2 linked regions of the Xenopus tropicalis genome follow. The protein of the gene in region 1 interacts with the protein of each later gene in a biochemical or structural test. Links are inferred from orthologs where the notes say so. Each region holds a gene or a part of one and is shown on either strand. Other genes may lie near its edges. The genes, in order: ccne1 and arih1.

Region 1 (4,598 bases):
ATGTAGTTTGTATACCCACATACCTTCCCCCGACTGCTAAACAACATATAATGCAGTGTATATAATACATAACAGATGCCCTTTCTAGATGGAATGAAAGGGAGAGGGTAACTGACAACAAGAACAATACTAAACTCCTGTAATGAAGCTGTCAGATAACAAAGGCACCTGGACATGCCACAGAATAACCTACAGAAAGAACCTCAGTTTAACTGAGCACACTAATAACATCACATGCGAGCATTATGTCGGACAGTGGACATCTAACAAACATGCATGACTTTAGAATGTCCTTATTAAAAGGCATCGCGATATTATTAGGGCAATAAATATAAGCGGCGTGTGGGATTCAGCAGAGGAATTGCGTAGAAGAGATATTCAAACACAGCTAGTCCGCTAAAGAAACCCATAACGTTTCAAAATAGAGGTTTTCTTACCAAAAGCCGGTCCCCCCAGTTCCCAGGAACCTCTTGTTTACATCCAGCTTCAGCAAACCACGTGGCTCTTCCGACTTCCGGATGCCCGCCCCTTAGTTCTTTCCACACGCCCCCAAACTTGCTTCTCCCCGCCCCCTCTTGCCGGTGTCTGCACTGCTTGTGTTTATAACCGGCCCGGGAGGTGGTGGGGAGGCCGGCTTTGGTCTGCATCTGTAACTTTTTACTTGGCCTCAGTTTGAGGGGAGACGAGGTCATTTCCAAGTGGCAGCCTGGGGGTGATGTTGGCGAAAGAGGGAAGCTAGCGCGCCTGCTGCAGTTTGAATGTGCCGCCGCTTGTCATATAAAGGCTGAACCCGCCAGCTCAGTGCGGCCATCCGGAGCCAGGAGCAGCTGCAGGCTCGGCGTGCACCCAGGCCCCCTCTCCCTGTTATCTCGCTGCACATTGTACAGACCCCCAAGCACAGCACAAAGTCGCCTTACAGCAACGAGCTGTATATTGCTAGTCCTATTTATTCCTTTTACCCAACAAGAACCTAATATATATCTATTTATGCACCTAACTTACGGCTAAGTTATTGCCAAAGTCTCCCCAATATCCTGCTATTCATCCCTCGCTGCTATATATTTATACTCTTGTCCCATACAGAACTTTTAGCCTTCGCCTCTTCCCATCTGCTTCTGTCCATCTTCGAGCATTTCGCCATTGGATCCAGTGTGTGGGTAAGTCTCTGACCTACTTACCGATGCACCTAAAGGCCCACAACGGACACGTCCATTTCACGCTTTTCCCGATTGCCCAACAAGATTCTGGGCAGGCAAAGTTTCAGGGGTTCAACTTTAAAGCAGCAGCCGGAGGGCTGCATGTTGGACATCCGTGCTTTACGGCTTTGCAAAAGTTCATAGCCTGTACAAAAGGGGTTAAATATTGTGTCTACGGAAGGTATTGTAATGAGGGATACTGTTGTGAGTGTATTAATCGACTATAATTGCTTCTTTTAAGACTTAGGGGGGGATGGAAGCACGTCTAGTCCCTTCCCCCCACTAAGTACAAGTTGTGCGGCCATCTTCTCAGCCTACTTTCACTTGGCTGTGACTGCTGCATGCACAAGATCTCGGGGTACGGGGTGACACTTTGTGGGTGCTGCTATACATTATCTACAGTAACAAGCAGGGAAGTCTCAGGCCTTGTTTTGCATCTCCACCCTCCCTTCCTCCACCTTCTTCCCGGCGCCAAAGCATTAGTGGGGGCAGGGGAACACATTACTAACATTTTCTCAATTAAATCCGGGTTTTGCCTTAAATTTAACCTTCACTTTCTTGAATTTCAGGGTAAGAAAGGTTAACCTTCATTCAAAAAAAGTCCTGAAATGCCCGTGATAAGGTAAGTGTACAAAGATGGCTAACCTACCAGCACATGTCAGAGAGGTGAAACTTTACATTCCCTGATATTATTATTTCTAATAATATTCTTTTTCTAGCAATCCTCCAGTTGAAAAAGGCACAAAGGGAGAGGAGAGGGCAAGCTGTTCTGTGCGCTCCAGAAAGAGAAAGGCAGATGTGGCTATTGTAAGTTCATACAAAGGGCCATGTGCAGTTTTGGACACTGTGTGTGTGACTAACTCTGCTCTGGCATTCTCAACTTGTTTCTTCTATTCCTTTTTAGTACTTGCAAGATCCAGATGAGACCTTGGATTGCTTGGAAATGACAAAGAAAAAACAATATCAAGACAGGGTAATTAACATAAGGGCCTTTACCACTTGCTGCTTTTCATATTATTCTCTCTCATAAATTTGTGTATCATCACTGTTGCTAACAAACTGATATTATTGCATAGGCCCCCTATTCAGTACTAATGAGGGAAGAAGTCATAGACATCTAGTTGTTTAGTACAACTGATAAAGATCAAGCTATGATTTCATCATTAAACTCTAGTTGGTGACTAAGTTGACTTATAATCTGTTTTATGTAAAAGCCATTTAAGAGTAAGATGCAGTAAAATCAAGCTTTTTGTTAATGTCACATTTAATACATACAGCCCTAAAGTCTAAACTTAGGCATTTATTAAATACACAATCAGCCCTAGAAGTTTCATAAGAGTTCAGGACATTTGAAGTCTTTTTTTTTTTTTTTTTTGCCAGGTTTTGGTTTCATACAGTTGCCTTGCTTTGCATAATAGATGTGCATGATTCTGCATTTTTTTTTTTTTTTTTATAAACTACATATTGCATTTTTTTTTTTTTTTAAACATAATTACAGCTTCTCGGTTTGTGGCTTTCACTACATAGGAAGAATTTAGAATTTGTCAGCTATTAAAGGGCATTAAATAATCTAAGGTGGTATCTTTCAATTTAAATGTATCTATAGTTTGTTTTTGTGTACCACTTCTTGGTAATTGTTGTTTAACCAAATAACCAGTGACTCTGATTTTTTAGCTTTGGAATACTTTTGTACTTTATTTGACAAATTTCATCTGAAAATGTAATTATATCCCAGTACATCAATAAAGAGTTATTTAAAAGACATGCATTACTGTTTATTTGTTGTGTTAATCATAATAGTCTGGTAGTTTTTCTGCCTTTATACACTTCTTGTTCTATCATTAGGGACCATGGAGCAATGAAATGATATGCAAAAGCCCCCACAAATTGATCCCTACACCTGAAAAAGAGGAACACGAACAAAACCCTACCAGCTACCCGCACTTTGCTTCTCTCCGGTTCAGTCCAGTCAGCGTTTCTCCTCTTCCACGTCTTGGGTACATGCCTTGTGTAACTTGACTGTTCCGTTGGTGGTGTTATAGCACAATTGAATCTGTAACACTTTACTTTTCAGACAGACATTTAGTACAAGGGCAGTTTGGCAATAGTAGTTGCGATCTACAATACAGTATAAGGAAGGACATTTACATGGCCCAGGTGTCTTTGCTAGTACTTATATTCACTATAAATAGTTTCCTGTGGCAGACATTTCTGTGATGCATTGATTCTGGTGTTGGTTTGCAGAATTATAAACTGTATTTTTACTACCCCTTATGAAACTAGAGCTAGCAAATATTTTGGGGCTGGTAGCATCAGTCGGCTATTGTTTATCCACGTACAACAGCTTTTTTTGTCAGAACCAAACCCATCCTTTGTCCCATAGCATTTACAGTTTTGGCTATTAGTGTCCCATAATAAGAATGCTGCAAGTTTTTCATTTAAAGAAATGACTGGCCTGTTCCTGTGTGATGCAAACAGCATTCATTACAGTGAATCTTATTACTGGAGAATAAAGAAGACCTTATCTATGTCACAGCAGGTATCAGACTTTTTCCAAGTAAAGATTCTGCATCATAGTTGCATGTAATATGACCTGGGGGCTTACTGTCCTTAGTCATCCAGTTGATACATGTGTTGGCCATTGGTTTTGTATTTTGAGAAATTGCCCTCTGATACGATTTGATCAGAACTGATCTCTGAAAACTAAAAGCCTGGCTGGCTGGCACCTGCTTGTTAAAGGCCAACAGCAGGAAGGGGTACGCTTTATCAAGCTTCTGTCAGTCAATATCATTTCTATAATGTTTATATGGAAGTTATTTTAAGCACTTGTAAACTTCCCTTAATGACTTGTGTGCTGTGAATACATTGTAAGGTGACTGTTTCTCATAAGAGACATGATAAAGGACCAGGAAAGGCCCTAAATGTATCTTAAAACCGTGCATATTCTTTCCATCAGTCTTGTGCACTTAGTCATTAATCTCACCAAAATGAGAAAAAAAAAATTACTTCTAAATTTATAATAATGGGGGTCTATTCATTTTAGGAATATTAACCTGGGATTTTGATCTCTTGAGACAAATCAGAATTTTTTTTCTGGTTTTAAATAAATTGCCTTTTATATTTAAAAAAAAAAAAATGGCAAGAAAAGTGGTTGGGGGGGGGGGGGGGGGGGGAGTTCATTGGCAATGGTCCAAGGATACAACTTTCTACATTATAACATGTTTTTTATGTCCTCTGCTTTTAATGACTGTTCTTAATCATACAATTCAGATGTTCTAGCTCTGTATTAAGTACAATCTTACTTTGCAGATGGGCGAATCAAGATGATGTCTGGAGAAACATGTTGAACAAAGACCGAACTTACCTGAGGGACAAGAATTTTTTTCAAAAACACCCTCAGTT
Region 2 (3,326 bases), on another chromosome or scaffold:
CAAACCCAGACTCATCTGTCAGCCTATAATTTAGTTTTGTTTACTACTTTTGACTAAACTAAACCATGTACATTTATTTTACTACACCTGTTTGTGGGATTTGTGCTTGACTGCCAAATAACCTTGTGGTTAGTCATCTATCTGCCTGAGAGATTGATAAATATCATAGAATGCCACTGCTTCAATGCCAGCAACATTTACACCACTCACTCCAGTGCTGTACAGTACAAGCCACTTGCTGTAGAGTACATGGTGGTATGTTAACTTTTAGAATGATGGAGAGAGAGTGCTATTGGTATTCGTTTTTTTTTTTATTTGTGTTTTTTCTAACATTTCCATTTTTGTTAAGCATCTTTCTAATTTGGAATTTCAGCAGCTATCTGATTGCTAGGGTCCAAATGATCTTAATAACCAGGGAATGGTTTAAATGAGATGCAGAAATATGAGTAGGAGAGGGTCTGAATAGAAAGATAAGCAATAAAAAGAAACAATAAAATGTTGCCTGCTGGGGTCAGTCACTCCCATTTAAAAGCTGGGAGTCAGAAAAAGAAGGCAAATAATTTAAAAACTATACAAAATAAATGAAAAAATTAAGACCAGTTGAAAAGCTACTTAAAATTGGCCATTCTGTAACATACTAAAAATTAACTTAAAGGCGAAGCACCCCACTTTGTAAATGCAAATATACAGATAAGAAAGGTTCTGTACAAATATAAACTAGATTTGGATATTGACTGTGGCATCCTGTTAAACTTTTTAAAAAGTACACATTTTACGTTTAAGGGCTCTGGCACACAGGGAGATAAGTCGCCCGTGACAAATCTCCCTGTTCGCGAGCGACTAATCTCCCCGAAATCCCATCCCACCGGCGAAAATGTAAATCGCCAGTGGGATGGCATACGGGGAGATTAGTCGCCCGCGAACAGGGAGATTTGTCGCGAGCGACTAATCTCCCCGTGTGCCAGAGCCCTAAGGACCCCATATACATTCCAACATATTTAGTGTATATCAACAGGTTTAATGCAAAGTTTATGATCATCTCAAGGTAATTTCTGGACATTATAAGCATTCCCATATCTTACATTGCTCTCTTACAGGTATAATTGTAACCGTTACAATGAGGATGATGCAAAGGCTGCTCGAGATGCTCAAGAGGTGAGTAGAGCTTCCATCTTCTAATGAAATGCTGCTCTTTTTTTTTTGGTAGAGATTGGCAGGCCCACTATACATGTAGAATACATACATCAGATATTTTGATGCATACCGTATATACTCGAGTATAAGCCAAAACCGAATATAAGCCGAGGTACCTAATTTTACCTAAGAAAACTGGAAAAACTTATTGACTCGAGTATAAGCCTAGGGTGGGAAATGCAGCCGCTACTGCTAAGTTTCAATAATCAAAATAAAAACCAGTAAATTACATAAATTGAGGCTTCAGTGGGGTATATGTTAGCTCTGTAAGTGGAGAAGAGGGTCAACAAAAACAATATGAGTACTACCCCATGCTCACTGCGCATTGGCAAACTGGCACCAGACCCAGTCCCGGAGGACACGTAAAGGGGAATAAGTATTGCGACTGGGAGTGGGCCAGGCACTGGAGGGTCTGGTTGCAGGTGGCCTAATTTGCAAACAAAGGACAGAGGGTGCTAGTCTGGAGGGACCCATGGCACCCAACTCGAGTATAATCGAGTATATACAGTACTTATATTCACATTTTACAGTTGCTTCTTGACAAAAACAATCTTTGTGCTATCTCCAAATGAATACAGTTGTATAAATTATATTATTGACTGCATGGCCTTGAAAGGGATAGTTTACCTTTAAGTTAAGTTGCTTACTTTTGAATTTGCCTTCATTTTGTCATTATTTTTTGTTTATAGTTTTTAATTATTTTTTTCTTTGAGTCTCTCCAGCTTTTAGCTGGGAGTTGCTGACCCTGGCAGTGAAAAGACTTGCAGTTTTGCTGCTTATATTTTTTGTTTAGGTCTTCTCCTGTTCATCTTCCAGTGTTTCAAAATACCGTCTGGTTGTTAGGGTAAATTGGACACCAGCAAACAACTGCTAAAATTCCAAAATTTAGAGCTGATGAAGAAAAAATATCATTAAAAATGTACAAAATATAAAAAAATGCAAATTCTCATATTAGTGTCTACATCATACTAAAAGTTAATTTAAAGGTTACTATTTATTTAAATAGAAAAACCTATATACTAACTGTAAATACTGGCTACTCTGGAGAGACAAAACATTTTTTTGGGTTATAGTTCAGCACAAATAATCAGTAAGTATACAGCTGCGGATTCCTGGGGTGTCTGTGAGCCACCCCAACAGTATATCATAAGATCAAAAGGCAAAAAGGAATCAGACAGTTCCAGGCAGCATTTGAAAACTGCAGTGAATTTAATGGCAGTGTCAGCACACTACATGTTTCAGGCAGAGCCCTTTCTCAAGTGTCTCTGGAGAGACCATTCTGAGTACTTTGCCTCTGTTTTTATCATCTGCTAGAGAAACTTTTTTGTTTTTAGATTTACATCAGTTGAGGGAGAACCCTATTCTGTTGTTCTGTTTATACTACAAAGAAAGAACTGAACTATTATTATTAGAGGAGAGAGAAAATTATCTTAAAAACTTTAAAGTATTTGCTTAACATGGATTCCATGGTTGATGGCTTGTCCATAATTTGGATATTTCTGAATATGGGTTTCTGGATAACATATCCTGTATTTGTTTATTCACTGTATAGAAAAAATAACTTGTGCCTTGTTGTGATACTCTTCAGCAAGTGCTTGGCATCTTTCTGTATTATCATTCATCATGGTTGGTTACTTGTTAACCCGTGTCTTTTACTTTCTATTGAAATAGAGATCCCGCGCAGCATTACAAAGATATCTTTTCTACTGCAACCGCTACATGAATCACATGCAAAGCCTGCGATTTGAGCACAAGTTGTATGCTCAAGTGAAGCAAAAGATGGAGGAGATGCAGCAACACAACATGTCATGGATCGAGGTTCAGTTCCTAAAAAAGGCAGTTGATGTGCTGTGCCAGTGTCGCTCCACACTAATGTACACATATGTCTTTGCCTTCTACCTCAAGAAGAACAACCAGTCTATTATATTTGAGGTAAGCTCATTGTGACTGCAAGAGGAATGAATAAGCTACATGTAAATTCATATTGGAAGTCTCTCTACCCATAGAAGGTCTCTACCTTATCAGCTAATGTTGCGTACACAAGAGCAGCGTGCCTTATTAGATGCATGTGACATGGAAGTGGTTATTTCCAGGAGTGCCTAGTAATCAGCATGCTGCGAAATATGCAACTT

The links.
Region 2: of the proteins of ccne1 (region 1) and arih1, one has a biochemical effect on the other in vitro, tested with the Homo sapiens proteins (3 studies listed by BioGRID). The link is inferred for Xenopus tropicalis from reciprocal best matches to the Homo sapiens genes CCNE1 and ARIH1.

What each region holds. Positions count from the first base shown.
Region 1 is NC_030680.2:71,333,158-71,337,755, reverse strand, and holds the start of ccne1 (G1/S-specific cyclin-E1), read left to right. Parts: upstream 1-1,501; 5' UTR 1,502-1,554; intron 1,555-1,765; 5' UTR 1,766-1,804; coding exon 1,805-1,818; intron 1,819-1,915; coding exon 1,916-2,003; intron 2,004-2,100; coding exon 2,101-2,169; intron 2,170-3,041; coding exon 3,042-3,193; intron 3,194-4,505; coding exon 4,506-4,598. Other genes in the region: uncharacterized protein LOC549154, read right to left, coding at 438-692. UniProt on the Homo sapiens protein: Essential for the control of the cell cycle at the G1/S (start) transition.
Region 2 is NC_030679.2:92,188,567-92,191,892, forward strand, and holds part of arih1 (E3 ubiquitin-protein ligase arih1), read left to right. Parts: intron 1-1,097; coding exon 1,098-1,155; intron 1,156-2,865; coding exon 2,866-3,126; intron 3,127-3,326. UniProt on the Homo sapiens protein: E3 ubiquitin-protein ligase, which catalyzes ubiquitination of target proteins together with ubiquitin-conjugating enzyme E2 UBE2L3.